Notamacropus eugenii: one gene and its partner. The protein of the gene in region 1 binds, or shares a complex with, the protein of each later gene. Links are inferred from orthologs where the notes say so. Each region holds a gene or a part of one and is shown on either strand. Other genes may lie near its edges. The genes, in order: DISP1 and SHH.

Region 1 (16,463 bases):
CAGACTGGTTCTGCTGCTCAGTTTCTATCTTCTCAACAGTAGAAGGTGAAAACGAAGTGCAAAAGATGATGAAATGGTCTGTCAGCCTTCTTCTCTAGACCCTAGAGATGGATGAGTTCTCTGATAAGAATCTGTACTCCTGAGACCCAATCACTCAATCATCTTGCTGGCTGTCCTAGTTGGTAGAAACCAATTAGGAGTTCTATATCCTCTTAGCAAGATATATCAGTATATATGCACTAACTCTTCATCGGTGGGAGAGGATGCCCCTCAGATATCTCCGAACAAAAAAGTTTCATCAAATTAATTGGGAAATTCATCAAATTGATTAGGAACTTCTCTGATCAAGGACTTAACATGTGAAGAATACTTTTTGAGTCTGTAACTATTTACAGAGTGTAGAGGACACCTCTAGGGAGTTTATAAACTAAGCAAAAGACAAAATCTTTTAGTAACAAGAACACTACTTGACACATTTTTTTTCTTGCTTCAGAGAGTTGGAGAAGGCGTTGAAGAAAAGGCAACCTGCAATCCTGACAGCAATCAATCACTAGGATATTTATATAGAAAAATTCGCTCTTTAAGGAAGAAAAATAAATGTTCGGAAGGGAAAGTTTCAATCTAAGTTTTCCACATATAGATACCTCCTTCCCAAGGTGTAAAATTGTTGTTCTAATAAACAGGTATAAATTCACTCTGTGGTTTCAGGACAATGCTGAACTCTGGTTATTAAGATGAGAGCTGTTTCTCCATATTTAAATTACCAAATGATGGAGAGAAGGGTAGTCTAGGGAGTTAATTCCCATTGGGAAGAAAAAAAATGACTTGTTTTTCTATCTTCCTTGGAATTCACTATTGCTATTAGCAGAAGTAGGCTAACATAGTAGATAGAGTTTGGGACCTGGACTAAGGAAGACCTAGGTCTGAATCCTGCCTCTGATATCTACTAGCTGTACGATATGAACACTTAACCTCTCAGTATCTCTCTCGCACAAATCTCAGTTTCCTGATCTCTAAAATGGGAATGACAATTCCTATAATATTTACCTCTCAGGGTTGTTGTGAGTTAAATAATATTTGTAAAATGCTTCGCAAATCTTAAAGCACTACATAAATTCAACTATAATCATTAATATATAATAATGAATCACAATGTGGTTTATTTGGCGTATTAATAATGATAACCACATTCATATATAATTACATACAATATGCACATATGTATATAATTATATCAATTTAAGGTTTGCAAATCACTTTACTCGGAGCATTTCAGTTATTTCTCACAGCAACCCTCTGAGGGAGTCAGTCAGTCAACAAGCATTTATTAAGCATGCACTAAGTGCCAGGAGTTAATGTAAGTATTATTCCTATTTTACAGCAATGAAATAATAACAACACATCTATAGAATGTTTTGAGGCTTTTGGAGATCAGACAGCTAGTAAACGGGAGACCCAGCACTCCCTATTCAAACAGATAATAAGTAAGGAGGCAGAGGACTGCTGCCTCTGAACTGTCCAGGGTCTGTGGGAATATCTGAAGAAGGAGTAAAAAGAGAAAAAAACTCCCCTTTCCCTTCATTCCCACATATCATGAATTAAAGTTCATAACCTTACAAAAATACGTATCTGCTTCATTGAATTTGTGGTCTCATCCATGTGGATAACCATTTCACCTATACAGAATGAAACCCATCCAAGTCCTATTAAAAACCTTATAAAAGCAAACCAAAAACATTAAACGCATTGTAGGCGTTCTAATGTCTAAGGCAGATTTTCCGACTGCCTCAACCAAGAATGTTCTTAGCCATAAATTGAAAATGACTAAAATCAAGCTATGTTACTATGTTTCAACTAGGTTTGTGAAATGCTCACCAGTGTTAAAGGAAGTTTTGGAAGAAAAAATGAGAATTACAATGGAAATTAATAATAGTTACAAATCCCCTTCTGAACCTCTTTCCCCACTTCTCAAACTGTTAGTTCAACTGTTAACTCAAGGAGTTGAGGAAAGGATCTTCTTTAGACATCTGACATTTTCGTTGACTTGAGTTGCCAGAGGTCTGACGGGAGAATCTGATTAGTTTTATACTAATACAGAGTCAGGGAATCATACATACTTCGTTTGGAATTCCACTGAGGAGAGGTATTGTATATCTAGGTATTAGCTCTTATCCTGTTGATCAGATTGTATCTTTGGGGGGCGAGGTCAAAGTTAAGAACATTTCACGGTGACATGGGTTTTTTAGTTTTGGCTCCTGACTCCAGGAGAGGGGTTTTTGAATAATTCAGAGTGCAGTATCTACGGTAGCCACCAGGTGGCATTCTACTTTCTGGACCGACAACCCTTCCATAGGCTGTTACGGTCCCACTGGCCACTAGAGAGAACTCAAAGCCTGAACAAGTCTTCGAGCACCAGTCCCTTTTCATTTTTGTTCTACTGAAGGGCAGCTTTATTTTCTTGAGCAAGCTATTTCTTCTTGTTCCTAATCTAAGCAATGAAAATATTAATATTTAAGATAGTAGCCACCACCCATCGGGAGAATTTACTCTCTTGTTTCCCTTTGTGTCCCTTGATTTAAATATACAACGGATGCGTCACAAGAGTTTTTATAGATTTGTTAAAACAAATGAGCTTCATTACTGGCATGGAGATGGACGCTGCTGTCTATCTTTTCCTCTCCTTCCTTTCCCCTTTCTTTCCAGGTCTTTTGTGAAGGGAGGGAAAGTTTCTCTGCAAGCCCAAGGCTCACAGAGAATAAAGATACGGGAAGGGATTTTTGTCATACCTCAGCAGTAAAGGAATAGAGAGTTCATTTTAAATCAATCTGATAAAATTCACTACATCTGAGTAGTGTAGCAATGTTTATATTCTTTTTTTTTTTATAGGTGATTATGTGCAAAGTGCCAGATTCCTTTCTAATCCTTCTATCAATGAAGTATCTTTTCCAGATGACTTAAATTACAGTATCTTTAGACACAGTTCCCATAATTCAAATGATTTTTTCCCAACAAATGAGTTACAGAACAAATTGTTTCACTGTATAATGTCATTTCACTGTAAAATGCCATGTCAACAAAGTAGGAATATTGAACAATATGGAGAATATGATAGAAAACCTCAAAAAAATCTATAAAATTAATCAAAAGCAAACTTACTGCAAAGGGAAATATATTTGTACATCATACAGGACAGTTGGAAACATAGGTTAAATATTTAAGGATTTATTTTAAAAATTTGAAAGTATGTAGACTAAAGTGACAGACTTGAAACACAAATCTCAATGCAACAATCTCAGAATGAGTAATATCCCAGAATATTTAGAAAAATAAAATCTTATGACCATTGTTGTCTTCATGACCCCATCTGGGGTTTTCTTGGCAAAGATACCAAGGTGGTTTGCCATTTCCTTCTCATTTTATAAATGAGGAACTGAGGCAAACAGGGTAAGGTTAAGCAACTTGCTCAGGGTAATACAACTAGTAAGTGTCTGAGGTCAGATTTGAACTCAGGAAGAAAAAGGTCTTTGTCACTGTAGGCTAGGCATGCTATCCACTGTGCCACCTAGCTCCCAGAGTATATTCTTGGAAATTGTCAAAGAAGACCTCCAGAATTAGAAAAAAATTAATAGTGAAAAATAAATACAAGTCCATAGGAACTCAACAACCTCAAAACCCAAACAAACCAGGAATCGGCATGACTAGACACATTATTGATATAGATACATAGATATAGATAGATATATTATAGATATAAAGTCACAACATAATGTGACGAATTTTAAACTAGAAAAAGATTCAACTTGCCAGAAGGAATATAGAATTCATTTACTAAGGAACAATAATCCAGATCAGCATGGATTTTTCATGTGAAAGAAGAGACAATCAGAATAATTAGAATAGAACATGTAATTAAGTGATAAAGTCAGTATGCTTTCTGAAGGCAAGAGGGAGATATATGCAGAGCACTAGAACTTTAAAGATTTCACTGAGAAATATATGCATTTTTTAGAAACTCTATAAATATGTGCAGTGACCAACTCTGATAGACTTGGCTCTTCGCAGCAACACAAGGTAATGAGACAACTCCAAAAGACTCATGATGGAAAATGCTTATCCACATCCAGAGAAAGAATTACAGTCTGAATGCAGTTCGAAGCATACTATTTGTTCTCTCTCTTTTTTGCTTTGTTTCATCTTTCTCATTATTCATCCATTGGTTATAATTCTTTTTTACAGCATGACTAATGTGATAATGTGTTTAACATGAATGTATTAGATTGCAGGAAGTCTTGGGGAAAGGTAGGGGAGAAAATTTAAAACTCAAAAGTTTGTGGAACTGAATGTGTTAAGCTGAAAATAAATTAACAAATCAAAAATTTTAAAAAAAATGCTATAAATAATAAGCCTCCAAAAACCAAATATATAAAACAACTCACAGCTCTCTGATCAACAGGAACTAATTGCACACAAAATGAGGGAAACTTTAGAACATTGTGTTGATTAACTCATTAAATATTTCAAATGGATATTTCAAAGAAACTGGATGAAAGAACAAAAAGGGAGGGTGGCAGAGAAGAGTAATCTCAAAGCAAAACTCATATCTAATAAAGAGGAAATATAAACTAAAAAAACTTACGAAGTAGTTGAGTTAGAAGAACTTTGTTTAGAGAAGATTTGTTACGTTTGGATTAATAATGGAAATAATATGGATAGCAAAGTTTTTTTCCTTTCTGACCTGAATAACTGACCAACCAAAAATTAGAATTCTAAATGTAAATAGTCTAAGCTCTCCATTAAAATGAAAGGGATCACACAATGAAAAAAACCCCAAACAAACCATAATCCAGTTCTCTCATTTTATAACTGAAGGAAACTTAAGCCCAATCAGGCTAAGTGACATTCCCAAAGTCCCACAGGTAAATATTTCATCTGTCTATATACCTCAGTGTCCTATATCAAATTTTTCCTGGTCCCAACTCAAATTAGTTTTTACTTATTTCTATGCATGCTACATCCCTTCCCCCCCTCCCCCCCCAGGAGAGTGTAAGCTCCTTAAGAGCAGGACCTTTTTCTTCTGTCACTGGTACCTAAAATGGTACCTTACGTATAGTAGGTACTTGAAAAAGATTTAATGAGGTGGATTGCCAAGGAGAAAGCAGATTGTTGTGACCTCTAGCTGGTGAGGAGAGAGGAATAAGGAAGAGAAGAATATTGCATATAAAAAATATTTCTACTTGTATCCACAGAGTAGGGAGCTACCATTACAGAGAAAGGGAGAGGTCATTACATTCCACCCCTCCTCAAAACAAGCAGTAAAAATTTCTTTCTTTTAAACCTTATCTAGGGAAATTTCATACCTCATCATCATAACTATTACAAAAATTTTTCCTCTTATCTAACTTATGTTACTTTCATGTCCCACCTCATTTTCTTCTCTCTTAAATTTAAAGTCCTTCACAACCTTTCCACTGTCTTATCTTTTCACTTTCTTTATATATTACTCCCTCTCTTTTACTTTCTCCTGGCTTTATTCCTGACTCTCCAGACTTCTCTAACATGCCTTTAGACTTCTAATCTGGAGATCCCTCTGCCTATGCAATACACTTTCCATTGCTCTGATGGTCGAATTCCTTCTGTATCTTTCATTTTGAAGAAGAGTCTAGGCCAGTCTTTCACTCTTCTCCTGGGTCTGCTCTTGATTCTCTGGACTTTTCCCCTTTTTTCAGCTTCATTTTGTGTGGTGCTTTTCTCTTTGTTTGTTGACTGACTTACCAACTGACTCTAGCAATACCTGACTTCTTGCTGTTCACCAGTCTTCTGGCACTCTTTTCAGTGACAGTCTCCCATGCCTGGAATAAATTGTTTCTACCACTCACTTTTCCGTTTTTAATATTAAGTTTTATTTTTTTCAATGAAAAAAACCTATTTTTTCTTCCTTCCCCTTCCCCTCATTGAAAACAAATAAATAAACTAATCTTCTGTAACAAATACATATAGTTAAACAAATTAGATTCCTTGTATTGGAAAAAAGTAAATCCAAAAAGTAAATGCCCCAATCTGGGTTCTGTGCCATCACTTCTCTGTCAGGAAATAGTATATATAGACCTAAGTAAAGTCTTTGACAAAATCTCTCATTCTCTTGTGGACAAAGATGTTGTGATGAGGGTGATATGATGGTACAGTTATGTGGATTTCAAGCAAGGTTGAAAAATTGAACTAAAAAAGGGACAAGTATTTATTCACATTAGATTGATGGAAGTTTTAGTGGAATGACTCTGAAGTCATTCTTTGATACTATGCTGTTTAACATTTTTATAACTATTAACATTTATAATTGTGGGAAGATTTGTATGAACTGGCACAGACTGAAATGAGAAGAATCAGGAGAACAATTCATACAAAGACAATAATATGTCAGGCAAATAACTTTGAAATACCTCAGACAGGTAGGTAGAGAAATGGACTGCTCTCTGGTTCTGGAGTCAGAAAGTTCTGAGTTCACTCTAGCCTCAAACACTTAATAGCTGTGTGACTCTGGATAAGTCATTTAACATCTCTCAGCCTCCGTTTCCTCACCTATAAAATAGGGATAAATAATAGCACTCTACCTCTTCAGCTTGTTGTGAGGATTAAATAATACCTATAAAGCTCCTTGTAAACCTTGAAGTGCTACTGGCTGTCAACAGTATCAATCATCATTAATGTGATCAATGAAAAGACGGACCATAATTCCAGGGGCTTCTTTATAGAGTATGAGCCTCACCACCTGACAGATAGATGACAAACTACATGTTTTTTTAGATATGACCAATTTGGGAATTTGTTTTGTTTGACTAAACACATTTTTTATGAGGGTTTTCTTTTTCTATTTCCTTTTTCAAAGGGGTGGGATGGGAGAGGAAGATGGATTTTTGAAAATTGGAAGAAATAAAATTAAAAGCAAAAGAAAAAAGTCAATTTTTTTAATCAACAACTTGGCTGATGCTATAATAAATATACAGGTCAGATTTTTAAATGGCACAAAGCTAAGAGAGATAGGTAAAATGCTGAATGCAGAGTTTGGAGATAGGCAGCAAAACTGCTCCATATAACATATCAGAAAGACAACCCTAATGTCTCCCTTTTCATGTGTTCTACCTACTTTTTTTTTAAGCAGGAGTGGGAGGGAAGGGCCGCTAGGTGGCACAGTGGACGGAGTCTAGGGCAAGAATCAGGAAGATGAGTCTTCCTGAATTCAAATCTGACCTCAGACACTTACTAGTTATGTGACCCTGGACAAGTCACTTAACCCTGTTTGCCTCAGTTCCTCATTTATAACATGAGCTGGAGAAGGAAATGGCAAACTGCTCCAGTATCTCTGCCAGGAAAACCCCAAATGGTGTCATGGGGAGTCTGACATGACTAACCAACAACAACTTGCCCCTTTTTAAGATACGGAGAGAGAAGGTCAAAGAACTACTCTTTGATTCTGAAAATTAGAATGCAGAAGTACTTCTCCTCCCACCCTGAAAATATATTTGATGTATTTAACCAGGATGGAAATTCACTGAGGGATCTGGAAACTGCAGAGGGAAATAGGGCTTTTGCTGCTAATTCTCTACACCATCATTCTTGATGTAATTAAACTGATGTGTTGGAGAGCTAGATTTCAGTAACAACACTGAAATAGCTGTAAAAAGCTGTTCCAAATCAGATTTTTTTTTTTACCTTGAGGTAAGTTCTCCTCCTATTCTTGAACACCTCCCTCACTGGAGCAAGGGTCTCCTATTATATTTGGGCTATTTTTTAAAAATATGACTCAGGGGTCAGGAAATGATCAGGAAGAGCATTTTTGTTCTGAGACTTTAAAAACTGATTGGAGAGAGGCATGATGCAGAATGTTTCTGAGTCCTAGGAGACTCTCTAGTTGGCTGTTCTACTTCTCTTTATAGCTGGATTTCAGTCTGCCTTTCAGGCTAGATTGGTTTGGCACTTAGCTAGAAAATCAGAACTTTTCTCCAATCTTAACATAAATGTCTGGGGACGTAGAGCTGTATGGTGGAAAGGTCATTGGATTTGGAGTTAGTTTTGGTTGGTTGGCTCAGTCGTGTCTGACTCCTATGACCCCATTTAAGATTTTCTTGGCAACTGGAGTGGTTTACCATTTCCTTTTCCAGCTCATTTTACAGATGAGAAAACTAAGGCAAACAGGGTTATGTGACTTGCTTAGGGTTACACAGCTAGTATCTGAGGCCAGATTTAAACTCAAGAAGATGAGATTTTCTGACTCTTGAAGTTCCACCTTTGTTGCTTACTACCTGTGTGTTCAAACTAAATTGCCAAGCATTTGCTGCAGAGAGCGTAACTCCTCTGGGCTGGTCATGTTGTTCTAATGCAAAATGTACGCTTGCCAAAAAGACTATTTTATGGAGAACTCACATGGGGCAGGCAATCACATGGTGGTCAGAAGAAATGCAAGGATACTCTCAAGGTCTCTTTCAAGACCTTTGGATTTGATTGTACAATATGGGAGATACTGGCACAGGACTGCACAGAATGGCATGCCCACATCAGAAAGGGTATTATGCTCCATGAGCAAAGCAGAATTGAAACAGCACAAAGTAAATGTAAGATGAGCAAATCTGGAGTATCTACCCCCAAAATTCATATGGACTATCTGTGCCCAACCTGTGGTAGAGCATTCCGAGTTTGTATTGGTCTGATCAGCCACAGTCGGACACATTAAAACTTGACTTTATCATGGTGATGTCATTTTGGTTCTCTTGGAGAATGAAGGACAACAACCAACCAACCAACCAACCTGTGTGTACTTGAAGGCACTGAGCCTCTGTTTCCTCATTAGGAAAATAGAGAGGTTGCACTTAGATAGCTTTTGAGATCCTTTCCACTTTAAAATCTGTGCTTTGAAGATACTAATACGACCTAGATCTTTTAAAATGAAATTGGAATGTCATAAATATAAAATTCTATAGTCTGGTTCAAAATATTCATTTTTGTAACCTCGGTAACAAAGTCCATTGGTAAGAAATTCTTTCCTCCTTGGTAGAGATGAAAACCCTATTCTGCACAAAGGGTGGGGCATAGTTGATAAGAGTTTCCCTCTCTTCCATCTTCTTTGAGCCTTGTTCATGTTGTCTTCAAGCTATGAGTAGCTTTGGGCTTCCAGCTTCAAGAGGGGAGGTAGAGAAAGCCACCCCCACCTCAGGCTGCTGAAGAGAAATGCTCTTAGAAGATAAAAGAACCGGCAGTCTCCATCATTATCTGAGAAGATAAAAGAACTGGCAGTCATCATCATCAACAGGCAGCCTCCCTATCCGCAACCTGCTACATTAGAGACTGTGGTGGAGATCTCAGATTGTCTCTTTTGGTTGAGCTGAGTTATCTCCCTCTTAAGAGGTAAGCTCCTTCACTCTATATTGTTTGGTATATAAGTATGTAAGTATGTATGTATGTACACATACCTTGTCTGATTTCCATTTTGCTACCCATTTGGGTAAACGGATTTTCTTGGCTGTCTTTGTGTGCTCATTGTGGAACTGGTGTGGGTATAGAGCTTGGGGTCCTTCTCTCTCCTCCCCCCACCCCCCAGTAATGAACAGCAATCCGAAGTTAGCTTGAGTCTCATCACATCCCTTAGACTTTAAGGGAACAGATAGATATAACTTTACCCTACCAGTACTTTCTCTCTCTGAGGAGAGCAGGGGCGTCCCGCCCCTACTTTCTCTTTCTCCTCCAAGCAAGGATTAAAGTCTCCTTTGGAGAATGGTGGAGGGAAAGGAAGCTAGAGATATTTATGCTGCCTCCGTTTGATGAACCCAAGACTTCCTATGTTATATGCAGGGGACAGTCAGAGAGAGAGAGAGAGAGACTTTGTGTGACTTCCATGAACTTAACCGGTAAGAAGGAAAGAACCCTTGCTCTCCTTCTTTTACCTGTCTGAGAGACATGAGCCCGGGGGTGTTTGTTTCCGTTTCGTATTCTTTTCCTTGACTTTCAGGTGCCTGAGGTGATCCCCACCCTTGGACTAGGAGTTTGAGGCGGAGATCTTGGAGCCAGGATTGCAAGAGTGGGGCATGTAGCCCATCAGGCCAGCTTGGAAGCCCTGACAAGTCAGAATGACGGGGACTTGAGCCTCAGTGGGGCTCTGCATGTTGAATTGGGACTGGACTCTACAGAAACTGAGATAAACTGCGCACCTAACCCTCTTTCCTTCCCCAGGGACCGAGGGTTGTGCTTCCCTCGTGTTGTCGGAGGGAGTGAATTTGTGTTTGTGATACATTTGAAGTAAGTATTCTTCTGCAAAAAGCTTCCTGTGTTTGTTTAAAAAAGTACAAAACAGGAGAATAGCTGGATAACAATTCATCTGAAGAGGCTGGGTAGGAGTGGTGACGGTTTGAAGCATAGAAGTATAAATCAGCAATGGGACACAGTAGCAAAAAAAAGAAAATTAATGTCATCTTTGGCTGCATTCTGAGGCACAGTGACTAATGTGAAGGAAGTATTATTCCCACTGTGCTCTGCCTTTGTCTGGCTAGATTTGAAATACTGTGTTCAGTTCATAGTAATAATAGCTGACATTTATGACCTTGGGTGTTCCCTCAAGGCTCTATTTCTTGGGTTTAACTACTTTTTTTTTTTTTTTTGCATATAATTCCCAAATTTTCAAATCCAGCCCCAATCTCATGCCTGAACTCCAGTCAGAAATCAATAAATACCAATGGACATCTTCACCTGTATATCTATAGGTATCTCAGACTTTAAATGCCCAAACAACTTACAGTCTTCTTTCTTAGACCTATTCCTCTTCTAAACTTCTCTATTTCTGCTGAGTCATCATCATCACATTTGCAGCCTCAGATTTATCTTCTACTTTTCACTCTCACTTACCCTGACACCCAGATCCCATCAGTGGCCAAGTCTCATCAATTATACTTCCTCGATGTCTCTTACATCCATCCCTTTCTCACTTTCTATTCTGTTCCCCACTCCCACACTCAGCTCTCAACCCCTATTCCCAGCCCCATTGAAGGAAGGGAATACATTTTATTTTGTTTTTTTATTGCTAGCGTCTAGCACGATGCTTTACACATAGTAGTCACTTTTAACATGCTTATTGAATGAATATATTTTCTTATTGGATTCTTACAATAACACTTTGAGGGTAGGTGGAATGGTTATTCCATTTCTAAAACATTTTTAGAAATGCTCATTTAAAACAGCTTTTGAGAGCTAGTTTTTTCAAAATAAGGAAAATAGTTTCATTCACCTTTGGGCGTGGGATAGGGTGCAAAAATGGTTTTGCCATGTGGTACTCATCCACATATTCATCAGGTAATCATAAGTGACTTTTGGCTGATGTCTAAAATTTGAATCTATCTTCAAATAGTGAAAAATAGGATTTACCACCAACTAAGATATTCAAATGAATGTGTTGCAAGGCCCTGAAGGCACTCCCTTTTTGAGCTATGACAGTATCATGGAATAGGTGCATAGCTTACTGAGATGACTACTTTCAAAGATACACTATTTGCTTTTTCATCTCTTGCCTCAGTGACTTTGCACAGGCTGTCACAATGTTCTTCCCCTTGCCTCTTGGAATTCTTAGCTTCCTGATTCCCAGTCCAATGCTCAATCCACTGTGCCATCTACCTTCCCTTCAAGTAAAATTAATAAGTGATAATAATTATAATGAATGACAACACTAAAATGAATAATATGGTGATGGGAATTAAAGATTAAAGGGAAAGAAAGGAAGAAGACAGGATGGGAATTCCCTGGAGGGATGGGGAATAGATAAGGGAAGGAAGTGAAGCCCTGGGAGAGGAGGCCTGGAAAGGCTGACAGGCAAAGAAGAGAGAGCTAAGTCTGATGTACAGCTCCCGGCATTTTGACTCACTGTCTCCCATGCCTAGAACTCCCTACAAATCTCTGCCTCCTAACATCTCTGCTTCCTTAGTCTCGGCTAAAATCCCACCTTCTGCAAGAATCCTTAATGTTGGTGCCTTCCCTATGAGATTATCCCCAATTTATTCTGTACATATTTTGTTTGTACATAGCTTGTATGTAGTCTCGCTCATTAGATCATTAGCTCCTTGAAAGCAGGTAATGTCTCTTACCTTTTTTTTGTATCCCCAGCACTTAGCACATGCCTGGCACATAGTAGGTGCCAGGTGATTGACCAAAAGTGCATGCAACAGTCCACATTTGTGGCACCCCCATCTCTCTATTTAAAAAATGTTCAGAAATCTACTTTTTCCTCTCCGTTTACCCATGCTTTCTAATACACCAAAGTTCCTTTCTAAGCTTCAGGCACCACATTTGGGGAAGGCTGCTGATAATCTAGAAAATGTCTGAGGAGAGCAACAAGGATGGTAAAGGGCCTCCAGTCCATGTAAGGATGTTTGAAGGAACTGAAGCTGATGGAGAAAACAGAACTGGGGAGGGAGGTGGGAAGGTATGACCTACTAGACTTATTATTGTGCTTGGTTTCAGTGGTCAGGGTTGGGAGCACTTGGTGAAAGACTCTTGGTCTTGATATGTGGAAATAATTAATAATAACAAATAATTACTGTGATATGAGTACTATCTATATCATTTACTATACCTATATTTGATATAATTGATATATTAAGTATAATGCATATTATGTAAGTTATATTATATACCTCTATTTGAGATAATCTAGATCTAATATATACTTTACATAACAACATAACACAACATATAATATATAACAATATTTTACAGCATAAAATGATCATAGCATTTTATATTATAGTGTATCATTAACATAAATATATTAGTATGGCATATAATAGATTATATAAATGTAGGTATATATTTTATGATATACAGTAATTTATTATAATGAGGCATATTTAATAGAATACATAGATTATACAGAATATAGATAGATAAATGACATGGATCGTACATATATCCAAGTGCTAATAACTATTATTACTTCTACATATCAAGCCCGAGTCTTCCACCCATTGCACCCAACCCTGACCTCTGGGGTGCAGCAAGCCAAGTCTAGTACTTCTCTGAAGTAACAGCCCTTCAAATAACTTGGAAATGGTTATTATTCCTGCACACCTCCGCCCCCAGTTTTCTTTTCCCCATCAGCCTCAGTTCTGTCAATATAATATCATATATTATGTATAGATCGTATAAAATATAGATAAATTCTGTATAAATATAATAGATATCCTTCTGGAGAGGGAGGATAACTGCGTCCAAGTATTTGAAGGGGGGTTGCTTCCAAGCAGTACTAGACGCCTTTCTTTGCCCCAGAGGTCAGGTTTGGGAGCAAAGGTGGAAGATTTGGGCTTGACGTCAACAAAAAGTCATAATAATAAGAAACAATTACTTTGCTCTAAGTAATATCTGTAGTAATTGGTTGTCCACACTTGATATAAAGGCAGACATACGACGCACGCTGATCTATTACCCACAGTTGACATGTTATCTACATCGGATACAAATAGTAACAGTAACAGAAAGGGCCGGAGCTGCCCCGGCTCCTCCCCCTCGGCAGGTCTTCGGGCTGGCCAGCCCTGCTCGTGGACCTGGCTGAGGAGTTTTGGAAGGTCCAAGATCTGGCAGCACTCGAAGTACTCGGAGATCTCCCCAATCTCCGGAGTCTAAGATGGGGCGGGGGAGAGGGGGAGGGAAGAAAGAGACTCATTGTTTGCTACTTTCAGTCGGAGCCCTAACTCCGCCCCCGCTCCCGGTCTTTCTCCAGTTCGCGCCACACCCTAGCCACGCCCCCGCCCTCCCCCGCGGGAGAGCGCCTCTCCGGGCTCCCTAAGGATTCCGAGAGCCTGTTAGTGTCGAGGTGACGTAACGTGACGTCTGGGAATCGGACCGAGGACTGGCGAGACGGGGAAGGCGGGACTTCCTGCCCCACGCGGCAACCCTTTCCGTCCGGAGCCGGAAGAACAGGTCCCCGCTGGTGTTTGGGGCCCCCGGGCGGCTTGGAAGAGAAGGTGAGCTTTTGGAAACCTGGTTCCCTCCCTGGAGGAGCCCGAGCGTCTGGTCTCCTTAGAGAATGGCGCTCGGCCAGACCGCTGTCCCGGTGTCACGGGAGGGCCCGGGGGATCGGAGGTGAGGGACAGGGGACATCCCGGGCTTGGAAGGGGAGGGACCGGGGATCCCGGAGAGGGAGAGAAGGGAGGCTTGGACTGGGACTAGGGAATCCCCGGGAGCGGAGCGGAGCCCTGCGGGAGGAGGCCGGCAGAGAGCGAGAGCGGAGGAGGGAGCGCTCTGAGCGATGGGCACCTTGGAGGGCACCAGACCAGCCGGGCGTGCCCAGGAGGGAGCCCCGGAGGGCGTGGGGGGGGCAGCTGGGGATGTCATCCCGCCAGAGATGGACATTTTGCGTGGAGAATCTCTCAAGGCGGGTGGACCACTGGCCGGAGGAAGCTTCTGGCGAAGAATAGGGCAGCCCCGGTTGACCTGTAGGAGATGGGTGGAGGTGGAGCAGCTCTCCTTTGGGAATTCCCGAAGGGAAAGACTGGGGTCTCCGCTGCCAGAGGTGACAGACGCCCAGGGTTAGGGAAGCGTGTTCACCTGGGTACTGGATGTTGACCTGTCACTGCTTCATTTACAATTAATACTGTTTTTTGATATAGGTATTTTTCTGTGTGGATTTCAGGGAAAGATTTTCCAAACCCACTGAAGACTTTTGAACTCTTCTTCACCCAGGTCTAATTTCGTAGAGCTACTTGTCTTGCTTTCCGCTTTCCAATTCATTATATTGTAAAATTTCCCTTCCAACGATCAACCAGAACCGTTCTTCTTGGTTCCTTCTCACGGAGTTTGTTGTATTTTTGTTACTTTATTGCTTAATGAAAGTGTCCTCGCCACCTTTTTGTTTTCTATTGAAGAAAAATTCAGAGGCCTCCCTTTGTAGGATTTATAGTCATAGTACATTGTTTATGTTTCTTTTACACTCTGTTTCTATATTCTGACATGTCTGTTTTGATACACCAGATCATTTCCTAAATGTTGGCCTCCTGGATAGTTCCTTTAGTTAAATTCTTCAGATTAGGAGAATTACTTCTTTTCTTCCACTATTTCTTCCCCAAAAATGGTAGTTTTGAGTAGATTAGGAGACATGTTTCTTGTCACCTATTCCTCCCTCCCCAATTATGGCAGATTTGAATTAGGATGCTGTTAATAACTGGCATTTCTTAAGGAAAGACCCTTTTCCCAACTTTACTGAATCCAATATAGAGTAACAATTCTAATTGTATTGATCAGAAGATATGAGATGGTTTTAAAATATGGCATCGAAACCATTTTTCTGTCCTTTTATACCTACATTTCAGCATTTTATTTTAATTTTTCTGTCTTGTAACATGCCTACTTTTTGGTAATTTGTTACTAATCTTAATTATCTTCTGGATTATATATGTATTGTCTATTTATCTGTCCACTTATTTATAAAGAGAGGTAGAAATAGGATGACCTGAATTCAAATACTGTTTCTGACACAGGCAGTGTGAGCTTGGACCAGTCACTGAAACTCTCAATGCCTCAGGCATTGTCTGAAGGTATGATGTTGTATGACAGGTACCGAGCTGTACTAGTAGAAGGAGTTTCCTCATGGGGAATTCTCTACAGCAATGAAATCACAAGTCTGGACTGTATACATACACATACATACACACATACATATGTGAATATTATATATTATATAAATGTATACTCAATGTAATTGTGCAATCAGACTCTTTCTGGCTATTAAGTAGCTGCAATGTTGTTTGCCCAGAAATTTGCCAGTTTTAGCTAGGAAGAGCCAGAATTTCTATTACTAGTGCAAGTTGGTATTTGATGATTGGCAATTTTGCTTGTTTCAAGTGTTTGGCTTTTCAAGTATTTGCTTCTTTTACTTTGTAGGTAACTTTTAGTTTGGTTCAGTAGCCTGACTCTTAACCTTTCCATGTTAAGTAGGGAACTGCTATTTGTAGTTGACAGTGAAGTGCCTTGCCACCTTTGTTATTACCTCAAAAAGCACTTCTAGGGTGGCCCTGAAGATTTATGTTTGAGCGAGATTTAAGAGTGTTCCTGATACTGGCTTAGACATAAAACATAACATTGGCACAAACCACTGCTATAGAATATAGACTTAGTACATTGAATGCTTCCCCTTCCTTCCTTCCTCCCTTTCTCCCTTCCTCCCTTCTTCTTTCCTTCTTTCCTTCCTTCCCTCCTTCCTTCTTTTCTTCCTTCCTTCTTAAGGGGATGGAGGAATAGATGAAAAAACCCAGCAGTTCGCTAAAGTGTTTACATTAACTGCCATATTCATTCTTAGATATAGCTTTTAATTTTAATTGTTCCCTTTTCAAGTAGATAGGCCTTAATTTGATCTGTTCATCTGATAAGGCTTGGTTTTATTTTTCCATACAGTTTAGATTAAAAATTTACCCAGCCCATTTTCCCTTCGTTTCTGGGAG
Region 2 (16,229 bases), on another chromosome or scaffold:
TTTTACTCTATGGAGTTCTTTTCTGCCTGGGTTTTCTGTGGTCTGATTGAGTTTCTTGTTTTCTTTAACCTTTTCCCTTCCCTTCCCTCCCCTCTTGTTCTCTTGGCCCCAGTTTAGAATGGCGTCCAGCAAGTTTGAAGAGCAAACTGAAGAGTTGGAGGGAGGGGGTGGTGTTTCTATGTATAAAGAGGAATGGAGCTGCATGTGTGTGGGAGGGGGGGTAAGAAGGAGGATGGGGAATGAGGAAGGGAAAATGTTTCTGCAAGAAAGTCTAGAAGATAGAAAGACAAGCATTCTTTCTGTTTCTTTTCTGTCCATCTATCCATCCATCCATCCATCCATCCATCCATCCATCCATCCATCTATTCCCACACACATGCACACAGAGCATATGCCAAAATGCTCTCCTTGTAATTACTCCAATGTTATATTGGTCTTGACCTAGTCAAAGAGAATTCTAGAGGAAAACTGAAATATACTTTTGGGATATGGGGACTGAGCTTCCCAGGTAACTTTCCTAACTTCACTTCCTTCAGTCAGGTCAGAACTATAACTAAAAGAAAGCTGTGGGAAGATTTAACTGAATGAATGGAGAAAATTGAAAAAAGAAGTTGGTAATGGAGGATAATGATTGGGAGGTTTGAGAAGGGGGTGGTGACGGTGAATTTTGTGTCTCCAGGAGATATAGGATAGGGTGCCTTTTTTCTAGCCAGAGTCAGAAACCAGGAACAGAAGCAGAGACTGTAGAAGAACTGGAGGTGACTTTAGCCAAGGCGCCTGGACTGGCCCTCAGTGACTGCCAGGGCTGTTTGCTGTTAACTTCTCCGAAGACTAGAGACGATGCTTGACTTTCTCCCAGACAAGTCTCCCCAAAGAGGCTACCAATATGTAAAATCGCCCACCACAAAGGAGCCCTTTACAACAGCTTGTTAGAAAGTCTTTTGGGGACGGGGTAGCAGGGAGGTAGCTGGGTGGGGGGGGGGGGGGGGTTGGAGGCCGAAGTGCACAGTGGGGGTGGAAGTGGGGTGAAGGTGGAAGGAGACGGAAGCCTTATAGTATTCCTACTCCACAGTTTTCAAGGGAATTTGACATGATTGCTTAACAGGAAAGGTTCTGTGTATTTGGCAGCAATAAAAACGGTAATATAGTTGTGGGAGTTAAACATAAAAGAAAAACAAGAAGCAGCAGGGGGAAAAACAGGCTAGCCCTCGCAGGATTCTGAGGCTGCTAGACTTTTTTTTTTTCTTAATGGAAGAAGAGTTTGAGTGAGGTCACCACGAGGATGACACGCACTTTACGTGGAAGACCAGCGATTGAAACCACGCTGGATTTCTAGCTTGGGAGAGTAAGCCCGCCCCGCGGCCACGGGTGCACGTGCGCACATATACAAACACGCATACCCACGCACGGCTTCTCTTCCCTACCCGGGGTCTTTCCCGACTCACTTCACAGTCTCGGTCCCCACCAGACTGTGAATCTTTAAACAGCCCGGGGCAATCTAGGCTCCCATTCCGGGATCGAGATCTCTAACTTAAGCTGGGCCATTCGGAAGTGAGCACAAGGATGCACTCAGAGGAAGAAGGATACGGGTGTGGAGTGGGGAATGGGGATGGAGGCAGTGGGGGTGGAACGTGGGGATTTGGCAAGAGCCCCCCCCCCCCCATCCTTTTAATTCTTTCTGGTAAAAGGAGAAGTACCACTACCACCACCCCCATCACCACCACCTTCTCCTCCTCCTCCTCCTGCTGCTGCTGCTGCTGCTGGCTGAAGGACTCTCACTCTATACTGGCTGAGCTGGATTGTCGGAGTCAAAAGCCGTGAAGCTCAGACAATTTATTAATTCACTGGGTCGTGTGCCACGAATCAAGCCCAATTCTGTTCACTCACCGTGAAGCCCAGCAGGGCCGCCTCAGCTCGGGCTTTTGTGTCAGCCGAAGCAAAGTAGTTCAACACGCCCCAGCTCTCTGCCAAGCGCCTAACCTCTCTCTACACAAATGAATGCTCGGAGGAAAACACTTAGCAGGTACCTGTCAACTGTAAACAACTTGGTGGGTTTCCCATAAAGAGGGCCACCCTAAACTTCAAAAGATCCACAACCCGCAAAATCATACCCTACATACGTCTCCTGTCCTACTTAACTAAGAAAAAACACCCCCTCCCATCAAAGTTCCCCCTCTTCCCCCATATTTCAACATTCCCTTTCCCTAACTTGATTGCAAAGCAGACGGGACATGCGTCAATTTCAGGCCACTTCCCTACTTCCCCCTCCATACAGGTCCGACTTCCCTTACTAGCTTCCCGCTGTCCCCCTTTCAGACCATTGCCCCCCCTAAGACTGGGGACCTGACCTGCCTGAGCCTGTAAGCGATGTCCGTCTGCGTTTCCCCCTTCCCTTGAGTTAATATTAACCAGTAGCTAATGCGTTCAGGAACGGTTCTCAAAGTTCCACTGGGGAAGATCTCGCCATGGTTGAGGGACTTGTGAAGCAACACACACACACACACACACACACACACACACACACACACACACACACACGGGTGTTTGGTCTAACTCAGGGAGACCGCCTGCTGAACCCCAGTTCAGAAGACACGTCTTTGCAGAGAAACTGATCACCAGTCTTCCCATCCCCCCACTTCCAGATCAACAGGATATTATTATATCTCACAACTACACCCCAACAACAATGACTTCCTTCCCCCCCCATCACACTTTTCACTGGGGGAGCCCAGAGAACAGGATATTAGGAAGGGTGTAGGGTGGAAGAGAGAAACCAGGTGACTGGACTGAGTCCTCAGCTCTTCTTTCTTCCCACTACCATGCATTATTTTTAGGGTACTTCCATGGGGGCAGCGTTACGGGGACTTGAGTTCCCCTCCCTCCAGCAATCCTTCTGGCTCTTGCCCACCCCCCACCCCCCCCATCTTTTGTGTCGGGAACAGGACTAGCCAACGCTCTGGTGTGCGTGTGTGCGCAAGGGAAGGGGGGAACTTATTTGTTTTCGTTTCGTTCGTCTGAGGGAAGTTGACAGAAGGTCAGAAGTTCAAATGCTGCCGGCCAATGGCAGCCAGAGTGGTCAAGCCCGTAGCAGGCTTGGCGCTGAATTCCCTGGGAAGGGCTAGCAGTTGAGGGGGCGGGGAAGGACGGACAGAGGTAGACGAGGGAAAGGTCGGAGGGGGATGCAGAATCAGTGAGGTGGGGGTGAAAGGGAGAGAAGACCAGGATTCTGGAGAGGCTGGGGAAGGGGCTGCAGAAGAGGAGAGAAGGGGAAAGAAGGAATGAAAAGACGCAGAGCAGTGAAAGAGAAAGCAGACAGGCTATTAGCAGTCCTCCTTCGGAGCTTGCTCTCCAGCTATGTACCCAGCCCTTTAAAACATCTTCACCACACCCCTCCTACCTTCTCCTCCTCCTCCTCCTGCCGCCGCCGCCGCTGCCGCCTGCTCCTCCTCAACCCTCGCCTAGTCAGCCCCCCCCCAGCAGCTTTATTTAATTATTATCATTATAGTATTATTATTATTATCATCACCATCGTTCTAGTGATGCAGCTAATTCGCGGGCGTGATCTTTTAAGGGAGGGGAAGGGTTTCTTTCCTTCGGGTTTAAGAGAATCTGGACTCGTGACGGCGGCAGCGGCAGCAGCAGCAGTAGCAGCAGCCCCAGCCTCTGTCGTATTAGAAAGGATACAAGCTGAAACCCTAGCCGTGGCGATCGATAAAGAAGGAGTAAGTGGAGCTGAAAATGCGTCTGACTTGGCGTACAGCTCCGTTGCCTTGCAGCTTTTCTGAAAGGCTGCGATGACTGAGGGCTGTAAGCACCCGGGAACTGAGGTCTGGTGGGCGGTGGGGGCCAGGGATGGGTGAAACGGGCTCTCGGGCTGTCTGTCAGGCGGGCTTCCACAAACGAGAGCAACTATTAACAGGGTTCTGAGCCAGGAACCTCCGGCCCCCCACCCCCACCCCATCCTACCTCCGATCCTGAGCCATCTCACTACAGCCCAGCCCCCCGCCCCCAGTGGGTTTATGAGCAGCCAGAGGCAGGCTAGGGACAGAGGTTGGGGTTGGGGCGGAGGGAGTGAAAGCTCCTGCCCAAGCAAGCTGGCAAACTCAGTCCAGCACGCTGCACTCAACCTGCACACTGTGGCCTGTACATAATTGAGGCTCACGCTTTTATCTGCCTACAAGAGCCCGCGTCAACGCTCTAGGTAAGATTTAAGGTGGTCGAGAGCAGATGAGGAAGAGAGGCTAAGGACACCCTTTAAAATAGAAGTCATCTTTCAGGACAGTCTTTTTTCCTGCCCCTCAATAAACCGAGGACTTGGGGGATTGAATAGGGTTGGGAGGGGGGGAAATCATTACCAACTCCGACCCCCCCCCCCCAACTTTCCACCCCCACTAGTGCGGTTCCTCCAACCTCATTGCGTTGCTAGCACCAAAGGTGGGACTTAAATATTTTAATAGGGCAATAAAAATGATATTGACCTATATTTGCAAGGAAAACCATTTCCAGCTTATTAGATCTATGGAGTTTCAGAAAGTCCGTGACTGGCGGTCGAATTTGCTTTTCAGACATCTCAATGTGGGAAGGGAAGTACGAAGGGAACGTTTGTTTTGCGGTTTCTTCCTTTTTCTTTTTTTAAAGATAAAATAAATAACAAGCCTAAGATAGTTCTGCATTCCATCTTTCCACTATTCCCTTTCCCCATCCCCCACCCAATATTTATTCGGTTGTAATTCTTGAGCAATCTGATTTAAAAGAGAGTGATGCAATGCTAATAAGTTATAAGTCCCTCCCCTAAGGTACCACGGGCGACGGGAGAAAGAGAGCATCCTTAAAGAAATATCAATATATTCACACTCCGATGGGCACAATTGCAAAACGGTATTGCAATACAAGCTACATAATACAGAAATGGGAGAGCAATAGCTGTGGCTGAAGCCACACTGCCTTTTGTCAGAACAGCCTCCCCTGGCCTGCCGAATTAAGAATTTATTTGAGATGTGGGAAGAGTGGGGGTGAGAAAGGAAATAAAAATGGAGATAGAGAAAAAGTGTCTTAAGATCTAATACTCAAAGAGACAGTAATCCTGATGTGGTGGTCACTGTATATTGGGGGGGGGGGACGGATTCCCCCTTCTTCCATCTCTCTGATTTCTATTCCCTCTCCACCTCCTTTCCTCCCCAAGCAACAAGGACAGACTCAAGGAGCCGAATGCCCTAAAAGCTGAGCTCTCCCTAGCAAGTTGCATGACAGGGCTGAGACAGGATAGGAAGTAGCAGACCAATAACACAGAAATCAAATCAATGACATAAAACCCGAGCTCAACTGCACTCTCCCCACCCCCATTCCTACCCCCAAACTTCTCTAAGCTCTACTTATAATATGGATTCTTTGAGAAAGAGGAAGGGTGATGGGGTAGGTGGCTAAGGAGGGAAAGGGATATTATCTTAAAACTGAGAAGAAAAAAAGGACAGAGGCTCATTCTGTGAGCGCTTCCTTTCACATTTTCCTTGCCTTTCAAAGAAACATATTAAACGCCACACATGGATGGATGGGGTTTCTACCTGAGTCATCAGCCGGTCCGCTCCGGTGTTCTCTTCATCCTTAAATATAATGTCAGGATTGTAATTGGGGGTGAGTTCTTTAAATCGCTCGGAGTTTCTGGAGATCTTCCCTTCGTATCTTCCACTAGCCCCTAGGGTCTTCTCCGCCACGTTGGGGATAAACTGCTTGTAGGCTAAGGGGGTCAGCTTCTTGGGGTGGCGCCTCTTTCCAAATCCCCTGCCAGGTCCGCACGCCAGCCCCGAGGACATTAAGAGGGAAGAGACGAGAACCACCAGCAGAAATCTCGTCAGTAGCAGCATCTCGTCCATTGAATCCAGTTACTTCAAAGCTTCCTTGGTGTGTGTGTGTATGTGTGTGTGTGTGTGTATGTGTATATGTGTGTGTGCGCGCGCCTTTGCGCGTGTCTATCTCAGACTGTCTCCTTAGGTCTCGGTCTCTCTCTCTCTCTCTCTCTCTCTCTCTCTCTCTCTCTCTCTCTCTCTCTCTCTCCTCTCTCCCTCTCCCTCTCTCTCTCCCTCTCTCTCTCTCCTCCCTTCCTCCCTCTCTTCTCTTTCCTTTTCTCTTTTCTCCCTCTCAATAAGCCTTTGCTTCCTTGCTGATTCCTTCAACTATCCACCGATCCCTATCGAGACAGGTGCTGAAATGGCAGGCTGCCGGTCGCTGATAACGGAACACATCGGAGTTGGGTCGCGAGACAGCAATCAAAAGACAAAAAGACTCTGATTTTAATGGTAGCAAGCCTAGAAACGCTTGTGAGAGAAGCCTGCCTTTAGCACTATATTATAGCTGGCAGGGACCACATCTGATTGGCCGAGGCGAGACAGCCTGTCTTCTGATTTAACCCTCAAAAAGGCAACAAAATGTTTCTTCTGTTGCTGCTGCTGCAGCTTGCTGCTGCTGCTGCCGCCGCCGCACTTTCACCTGAGGGCTTGGGCGGGGGGGGTGGGGGGGTGTAGAGGGGGGGGGGGAAGAAAAAAGAAAAGAAAGGGGGAGGGGAAGAACACAAAGTGAATTGTATCGTAGTGAGGTAGAATCTGATTTATTAGGATAACATAAATTACATGATTTTTCTTCTTAAACTTTCCTGAGAAAGGTAAATTTGTCAAGTAAAGTAATAGATGCTTCTGTTAGACAACCTTTTAGGAAGTTTCATACGAGTGCAATTTTTAAAGACAGTTCATTCTTCCTTCTGTCTCATTCCCCTCGCCCTTCACTCCCAGTCAAACCTTGATCATCAGACAAATGTTCAATGAAAACCATGAGTGCAACACGGCTGATTTATACAAATCCCTTTTAGTGACTTTATCAGGAAGGCAAGATTTCTCTCTCTCTCTCTCTCTCTCTCTCTCTCTCTCTCTCTCTCTCTCTCTCTCTCTCTCTCTCTCTCTCTCTCTCTCCTTCTCCCTCTGTTTAAAAGCAACAATATCTTTCCACAAGAGGGAAGAGCCTTTGGCCACTGAAGAAAGCATCCTTGGAAGTAGACTAAGGTTAGCTGTGGACTTAGAAGTGTGTGTGTGGGGGGGCGAGTGTGATTATAACTGGAAATGTCTGAGAGGACTGTTACTTGAAATACTTTAACTGTTAACACAAAATGCTTGAAACACAGTCAAAGTTGAAATAGATGTACACCTCTTCAAACCTTGCAGAACAGGAGAGTGAGAGAACAGATGCCCTGGCACCAGGTCATACTACCCAGTGCCCAAACTAAAGTGGTGTGTTCAAGCTAAGAGGTATTAGGGAACTAGACCCCCCCCACCCCCACCCCAGCTCCAAGAAGAAGGGAATGGGGGGGGGAGGGAAGCGGTGTGGGAAGAGAGTTATTTCCTCTTGAAGGACAGCAATCTTTTGGTAGAGCTTCGCAAACAGCCCCACAGATCGATCGGAGCAAAGTGCAGGGCAAGGGGATGAGTTTAATGTTAAATTCAGGGCTCTCTTCAGCGTAGTGCAGCGATGTCTTTATTCTGGGCTCCCAAAATTATCTGCCAGACCTAAAGTGACTAGAGAGAAGCCGAGTCGCTGGAAATCGGAGTTGGGGTGGGGTGGGGGCAGGAGGAGGCTTAATTCAAAAGCATTTTCTCTAAGGAACAGTCACGTCCCTTTACAAGAAACAACTCCCAAACCAGCAGCATTGGCCTTAGATCTCTGAATCTTTACAAAGTCAGTTCCTTGTACCTCCACACTCATTTCAGAGAAAGTTCCATTTAAATCAGAAAAACATGGAATTTCTAAGCGTCCCATTTGAAGAACATGGTATTTCTTATTTATTCTTTTTGAAAAGAAAAAAAAAGACTACTACTGGGGTGGAAGGAACTGAGGGTCGTAGGAGTACATATGAGAGATAGAACTAAAACTATACACTAAGAAATAATCAGATACTCTGAAAGAAATGAGACCAAAAAAAAGAATACAAATATGTGGGATGGGGAGAAGAAAGTAAATAAAGGTCTCCCAGACCTCAAAGTTTTAACTCCCTCGGCAATGCGGTAAATTGGGTAGGTCTATGAAATATTCCATCGCAATAACCTTTGAGGAGGGGGTAGTGGTGGAAATTAACACTCTTATGGCATTTCCAAAATGGGACACAAGCTCTTGCCTCTTCCCGCCTCCCGTTTTTTTTTTTTTTAATAGTCCCCTCCATTCAGATCTTTACAAAGTACAAAGCCTGGTCCCCCTATCCTACGACTCAGGAAGAGATCTGAACAGGCCCTGGGTAGCTGGAAAACACCTTCCCAACTCTATCAATTAAAGGACGGATCTGTGTTAAAAGTTCCCGGGTTAGCTCCAGACAGATAGACCTCAGCTGACAAGTCGGTGTTTTAACTTTTTGCAGTGTGTGTGTGTGTGTGTGTGTGTGTGTGTGTGTGTGTGTGTACTCAACCCGTGAAAATAGATACAAGAAAGATATAACGTTATATCCCAAAGAAGGTATGGTCGTTTGATGTGGTTACCTGGCGCAGCACGTGTTGATGTAATATGATTAAATAGTGCCAGGGAATAAGAAGTGATCCTGCCTGTGTGGAATATTGCACACCTTTTGATCACCCTCCCCCGCCCTGGCACGTCTCTCTCTTTCCTTCCCCTCCCTTTTTCCACCCCCGCTTCCCCGCCCCACCCCCAACTTCACAAATAAATAAATTAATTAATTAATAAACACATCACTTGATCGCTTTTCCCCACTGGCCACTTCATTCGCGAGCCCGGCAGTGAAGGAGTGAAGTCTAGAATCCCGGGGAACCTCCTCATTAGCCGGCTTTCCATACATACAAAGCAGTCAGCCAGAGAGCAACAGGCAAGGAAAGAGGAGGAATTAATTAAATGCAAATCATAAATGCACGTGGAAAAACCCCAAACCGACAACATAGAGGGTTGGCTTTTTACTTTTTTATTTTTTTATTACCGTGTGTGTGTGTGTGTGTGTGTGTGTGTGTGTGTGTGTGTGTGTGTGTGTGTGTGTAAAAGCCAAGAGTTGAAAATCTCAAGTCAGAAGTTAGAGAAAGCGGAGGTCTGGGTGGGAGGGGAAAGGGTCGGGGTTGAGCATGCTGCAGTTTCAGTTTGCGTCCCCAGCCCAGATTCTGAGATCTGGCTGAACTGCTGCATTGCCTCTTCCTTCTCCGTCTCCCTAAGAGAGGACAGGCAGGGGACCCAGCTTGGCGTGGCCCATCGGATAGCTCAAAGGTTGATTTAAAGTCGCCAGGATCCCTCACAGCTTCTGTCGGTAGCAATGCGACATCCCTGCCTTCTCCCCAATCCTCCCTCCCAGTATCTTCCTCTCCTCCACCTTCCCCTACACCGGGAAAGAATGATGTCAGGAGCTGGATGGATTGTCAAGTCTTAAAATAATGATGAGGGTAATGAGGATGAAGGGAAAGCCCAGACAGGATCCAATACTGATGCCCTCGTCAGTTGCATCGATCTCTCGGTCATGAATTGGGGTGTGGAGGGTGGTAAAAGGAGAAAACAAAATAAAAAAAAAAGATTCCACAATGCTCACAGTCTCATCGTCTAAGAAAACCGAGGGTCTGGTTGTTTCTTGGGAAACACTTTCAGTCAAAGTGCTGGAGGTGGATGAAGCAGGGGCAAACAGCTCCTCTTCGTCCCAGACCCCTCCCCCTACTGTCTCTCTCCCCCCTCCTTTCATCTCACCGACACCCTTCCCATTTCCCAGACACCAGACACTCTTTCTGTCTTCCACCTCCAGACACCAGATGGCTCTCTCCCTTTTCCTCCCCCACCCACTTCCAGACAAGCCAGGCCCCTCCCTTTGCCTGACTGTCAGTCCCAAATCCCAGCCTATTCCTTCTGCCTGTCAGCAAGTCCCATTCTCTGCTTCCACTCCACCTGGGTTTCCCCCATCCATCCATCCATCCATCCATCCATCCATCCATCCATCCCACTAGAGGACAGGTGACCTCCCTTTGGATTCTACCCCCAAGCCCCCAGATGGCGCCCTTCCTTGAAACAGCTCCTACTGTCTCCCCCTTTCAGCCCCAGACACTAGATGGCCCCCTCACTCTGCCTTCAGATTAAACATGGAGGGCTCAAGCCTTGGCCTGGTTTTCCAAACCAAAACAAGGTGCCTGAGATAACCTGGAGGCCCTGGGAAGATAGGCTGACCTTTGTCATGGAAATCCTTGAGAAGATAGACTGACCCTCCCACTCCACTGCCCTCTTCCCCAACCATCATCATGCCACCTGTACTTTCTCTTTATCCCATGAGATTTATGCTGGAGTGCTCTAATGCTTCTCTCCATTTACCTCTATTTCCTAGTCTCCAGCTCCAACGTTACATTTACCAATTGGGATAACCTCCTCCTCCCCTTTGGCATCTCCATTAGTTCTGTACATTCTCCTTCCCTTCAGTAATGATCATCTCAATCTTGCCTCAGCTTCATCAGCTCTGATTTCCATCAGTCCTATATTTCCCCTTCTGTGCTTCTAACTCCCCCCGCCCCACCACTGCCTACTCTTAGGGTTGCCTTGTATGCATTTCTGAGGAAAGCATCTGACCCTTACCTCCATAAAGTAGATGCCTCCATAGGGTATAGAGGTGACAGTGGGTTCTCCGAGGCTAGACCAGCAGAAGGAAGTCCTGGAGGGTCCTACCAAGCTGAAAAGCCCAGTCAATGCTTCTGTCAACCAAGGACTTAGATATGTTTTAAAAGACTCATCATCTCAAGATAGGATACTAAGTTATGCTTTTTTCCTACTATAGCAATGAATAAATGAATGGATAAAGCATTTATTAAACACTTTAATGTGATACAAAGAGACAATGAAAATAGACTGATCTCAAATTCACTAAGAATGAAAGGTTTCAGATTCAAGTCAAATAGAAAAGTCCCATGCTCCTCAGGGTGCCATGACAAAGCAGACATTAATGCTTCTTGAATGTCATTCTATCAATTTCTGATGTTGAACTATTTGTCAGTGCCAAGGACTTTGGTGGTAAGAACTTTCTTTTCTAGGTCTTTAATAGCTTGACTGCAGCACTTGTAGGAACAGTTGCCAGGCTGCATTTCCACAAGGACTGCTTCCCAGAATGATGGCTGAGATGGTTGAGGGCACTAGGCTGGAAGCATTGCTGTTTCCAAAACTCTTGGGCTCAGGCTTCTGGACTGCCTCCATCAGGGTCTGAAGGGAGATGGTTGCCAAGGTGGTGGTGGTTGTTTGACTTGCTTGTCTTTCTCTTAGGGTGCTTGATTCAGTAAGACTGGCTTTCCTGTCAGTCTGGGTGATAGATAGTTACTTTTGGAGACTGTCTACTAAGGGGTCACATTTTTTTATTAGTGACAGAAATACACAAATGAAATCATACATCCAAGAAGTGCTACTCAACTCATAATTTTGGCAGTTCCCTTCACCATGGCAGTTCCCAAGATCAAAGAATATAGAGATTATCAAGTCCAGAAGTTTTTAACCTTTTTTGTGTCTTGGACCGTTTTTGGCAGCCTGGTAGTCTATAGCTCCCTATTCAGATTAATGCTATTAAATGCATAAAATAATATACACAGGATGATAAAGGAAACCAATTATATTGAAATACAGTTACCAAATGATGAAAGAAACAAGTTCACAGACCCCAGCTGAAGAACCTCTGGTTATAAGTCCAGCTCTCTAATTTTATAGATCAACCAATCCATAACCATTTAGCAGGCTCCAACTATGTTCTAAGCCCTGGTCTAGGCCCAGGATACTCAAATAGATCTGTGATCTCATAGATTTTGAAATTCCCTCCAGCAGTGCATTAGCAGCCCATTCATGTCTGCCAATTCCATTCTACTTTGGTCCACATCTTTCTATATGTTTGCCACAGGGAGTTCACCTAATATATTAGAGGCCTTCCTCAATTTCTTCTTACATTGTAAGGGTACCACGGAAGCACTCTCTTATCTTGATACAGGCAGGACCAAACCATTCCTTTCATATAATTAATTCCTTGGTAACATTTCTTATTCTTTTTCTTCAGAATTCCTCAGTGATTATTTCTTGCAGCCACCTCATACCCACCAGGAAAGTCTCCATTGCCTTTTATGATATTAATTTTTGATTCTTTGGAGAAAAGCTATTATATATATCTGCCATACAGCAGTATTGGTAGAATGTTGATATTTAAAAGATAGGCTTTTGCTTTCATGGGAAACTTGGAGTCATTAAAGAAACCTGACAATTTTCAAAGACTTTCTTTTCTCCTGTTCAACTGGGTCCCATTAGCTGTTCATTCTTGAAACAAAGGTACTCAGAATACAAAGACAGAAATGAAACAGTCCTTGAATTCAAAGAACTGCCAACGTGCTTCCAGGGAGAAAGAACCTTGGCTCTGGAGTTCACAGGCACTGTCTCTGACATGTACTACCTTTGGACCCTTAAGGAAATCACTTTATTTCTCTTGGACCTTAGTTTATTTATATATAAAATGAGGGTTTTTTAAAATTAATTATCCTCTGAGGTATTTTTTAGCTCTAGAGCTATGATCCCAATAAAGCCTTTTTTAATGTATGTAGTCAGTAACAAGCCTGAGGTTTGAAACCTTCTCCTTTCATGTCCAGCATTATGTCCATGACATCACACTTCCTCCATGTATCCTGGGAAGATGCTAAGCACTGGGCCCTTGGGATTAGTGGGAATAAGGTGACTGTCTTCAACAGCCAAGTCGTGTTCATAGTTCTCATTGCATCTTCCTCCCACACTACCAGGCCAAAGAAAAAGACACAAAAAACCCTATAGACTGTCAAGGAGAATCACCCATTGGTGGGTAGCACCAGCTCTTCATTAGATGTGGCTGAGAACCCAGCAAGGAGTCACCTCCTTTCATTTTGATTCCCATGAAAGTGAAGGGCTGGGGAAGTTACTTCCATTCCCATGGGCCAGAGTTCAGGAGGACAGAGGCATCTCCTCAGCATCCTTAGATCAGGGTCAGCAGCGGCAGCATCTAAGGAACTAAATGCCACTGCAGCAGCAGGTTTGCCTCTCATTCCCACTTGTAGTGGGATAAAGGGTTCTACTGCAGCCCAAGAAAGCAAGAGGAGCAATGGTTCTGTTTGGTCCTATGGTCTGTGTTTATATGCGCTTGGCTGGCTAATCCTAGATGTGGAGGACAATGTGGTTTTGGCAGAAAAGATACTGCACCAGAAGGTGTGAAACCTGCATTTTAGGCTTGATTGCCTGTTCTCTCTGTCTCCCTTCTTCTCATACACACACACACACACACACACTCCTTTTTAAAATTTATTTATTTTTAGTTTTCAACATTGACTTCCATAAGTTTTACAATTTTCCCCTCCCTCCCCTCTCCTTCCCCAAGGTAACCTGTAATCTGATACAGGCTTTACATATGCATTCCTATTAAATATAACACATACTCTCTTTCACATACACAAACACACAAAGACTCTCTCTCTCACACACATACACACAAACATGCACACACAAACTCCCACATAACACTGGTAGGAAAAACTACTTTAACCTTCCTGGGTCTCAGTTTCTTGATCTGTAAAATGGGAATAATAATACCTCACTTTTATTGGAAAACAATATACTCATGAAGGTTACGATCTATGACTTTTAGTGGATCCTCCGTTCCCTCATAGTACATTCTATTCCACATAAGGCAGACCCATACTAGCAATACAAAGCCAGCATGATCATAAACCTTGCTTTTCTGTGGTGATTTATGCTTTCCAAAACACCTTCATATGTGTGATAGCATCTGAGCCACACAATAATCTGATGAGGTAGGACAGGTTCCCATTTTACAGATAAGGAGACTAAGATACAGGCTCAACGACTTGCTTAAGGCCACACAACTAGTTAGTGACAAAGATGAGGCCCCTTGAAATAACAGGCCAACAAAGGCAGGAAATAATTAAGGATGAACACTCAACTTGAAATATGCAGCCTTGTGCATATGTGTTTAAAGTACTGGCCCCTCCCTTATCTTTACTGAGTATAAGAGTTTAATTTAACTTGGGATGAAGGCTACAAAATTGACTTGGAGGAGTTAGTTAATCTCACATAATCCTCAGATCTTGAATTTGAGGACTTTTTAGATTTGAAGACATTGCTAGTTGGATACTGACATCCTTCTTTGCCCCTTGACTGAATAAATTTGCCTCTTTGGGTCTCAGTTTTCTTGATTGCAAAATGAGGAGGTTGACTTAGATGATTGCTGAGGTTGCCTTCAGCTCTAAATCCTATCTTCTATGACACCCCACTACCACTTCTGCTGGTGACAGGATATTTCAGCTCAGCACCATTAGATATGGCAAATATAACTACAAAAGGAGGGCACTTGAATTCTGAAAGGCACCGATAGGCAATTAAGTTACATTCAGGCACCATGGAGATTCCTACAGGCAGCAGGAGGCTGGTGGCCAAGCAGAGCAGCTCCCCAGAACAGGGAAAACCTGGGCAGATACACACTAATATCGTGTTTCTCTATTGTGTTGTGTAGAATTCCACATGATCCTGAACTTTCCAGAAAGGAAGAATAAAGAATGATCGTCCCAGGTAATCCCATGACTGTCATTTAGTTTTGGAAGTCTAGCCAGTCAGTCAGTAAAACTTAAGTGCCTACTATGTGCCAGGTACTGTACTGAGCACTGGGGATCCTAGTTCACCAAAGGCAAAAGACAGCTCCTGCTATAACTGTATCTCTATTTTATTTCCCTAGAGGGAATGAAGAGGAGGAAAAGTTTTGCTAAAGGAATGTTATCACAATGGCACCCATCAGCCCCACCAGGATTAACTTTACACATAGGAAAAATAGGAAGTATCTATATCTATCTATCTATCTATCTATCTATCTATCTATCTATCTATCTATCTATCTATCTGTCTGTCTGTCTGTCTATCACAACCATGTTGTGATTTGGGAAATGCTGGGAAGGCCCAATTGCCCTCTCAACTTTCTTCTTTCCCTGCTAAAGCTTCAATTTTCTTTGCCAGAACTTGATTCCTTTACTTTGAAGCAATGTACTGTGGTAGAAGGCTTTTTGGCTTTCATGTCAGAAGTCTTGGATTTTCATTCAGTTATTTCATTTCCTACCTGTGTGACCTTGGGGAAGTCATTCAACCTCACTGGCCTCAGTTTCCTTATTTGTAAAATGGGGATAATAACTACCTGTAGCAGAGGAAGTTTGATAGAGGAAATTCTTCACCAGGAGTTTCTTTCCCTAATGAAATCATGAGTCTAGCTCCCAAGTCATTCAACCCTTTTATAGTAATTCCCTTACAAAGGTGTTAGGAGGCACAAATAATACATATACATATACATATACATATACATACACACATATATGTCTATGTATATATGCACACATATACATTATATATAACTTTGTAAACTTTAAGATATTATGTAACATAAGCTATTATTTTCATCTCATTCTACTATGATTTTCTGCTAAATAAGGGGTTCAAAGTAACCTCTGAGGCTCCTGAAAGAGAAAGCCTGGAGCACTGGCAAGAGTGCCTGTTGGACCTAGAGTCAAAAAGTTTCCAGGTCTGAATGCTGGGTCAGACACTTGTTGGCTACATGACCACAGAGAAATCATTTGGTCTGTCTAAGTCTCACTTTCCTCATCTGTAAAATGGAAATGTTGATAATACTTCCACTACTTACCTCAGGAGTTGCTATATGAATGTGATCATGTATTTTGAGTAGCAAAATTTCTTGCAACTCTAAATCCTATGATACCTTTCCCATAGTATAATGTGGGTGTTTCTGAGAAAGATCAAATGTTTAAGATTTATTCATTATGTTATATTTTAGAGCAGAAGTCCCTGAACTTCCTGTGAGGAAGAGTTATTTGTCAGTTGCCTTAAGCCTTCAGGTCGCTTGTGGGAGCAGGAGAGATGCTGACAGTCAAGGCCCCAGGTAGGGGTTGCTGGCAGAATAGTACTGTTGTTGACTCTGCCCTCTCATTTCTGGAAATCCTAATAAACTGTGGACAAGGGATGGTGGTGGGGAGACCAGTATCTCAGTGGTGGGACACCAGGAATTTCTTGCTTCACCATCCCTCTTTTAAGCTTATGAGAGTTTCTGATGCTTTTGGTTTATTCCAAACCCCTGTTTTGCTCTCTTTTTCTTCTTTCACCAGGTGCCTTCATTTGGTGACCTCATCCGTTCTGTGGGTTGGATGATTATTTACTTCAGGTGACAATCA

Evidence for each region.
Region 2: the proteins of DISP1 (region 1) and SHH are in contact, whole or in part, in a cryo-EM structure (PDB 7E2I), measured with the Homo sapiens proteins. The link is inferred for Notamacropus eugenii from reciprocal best matches to the Homo sapiens genes DISP1 and SHH. Residues at the interface, in NP_001356523.1 of Homo sapiens: Lys242, Thr244, Gly245, Tyr246, Lys247, Ala248, Glu260, His265, Arg299, Phe336, Gly337, Asp338, Leu339, Cys340, Gln341, Arg342, Thr343, Glu459, Arg899, His904, Asp906; in NP_000184.1 of Homo sapiens: Pro49, Asn50, Val51, Thr55, Leu56, Gly57, Ala58, Arg68, Glu71, Phe73, Lys74, Leu76, Thr77, Pro78, Tyr80, Pro82, Arg96, Leu97, Gln100, Lys186.

The regions. Positions count from the first base shown.
Region 1 is NC_092873.1:413,858,774-413,875,236, reverse strand, and holds the start of DISP1 (protein dispatched homolog 1), read left to right. Parts: upstream 1-9,129; 5' UTR 9,130-9,396; intron 9,397-9,787; exon of another isoform or gene 9,788-9,896; intron 9,897-9,997; 5' UTR 9,998-10,284; intron 10,285-13,747; 5' UTR 13,748-14,109; intron 14,110-16,463. UniProt on the Homo sapiens protein: Functions in hedgehog (Hh) signaling. Regulates the release and extracellular accumulation of cholesterol-modified hedgehog proteins and is hence required for effective production of the Hh signal. Synergizes with SCUBE2 to cause an increase in SHH secretion.
Region 2 is NC_092874.1:89,218,714-89,234,942, reverse strand, and holds the start of SHH (sonic hedgehog protein), read right to left. Parts: upstream 6,308-16,229; 5' UTR 5,871-6,307; coding exon 5,562-5,870; intron 1-5,561.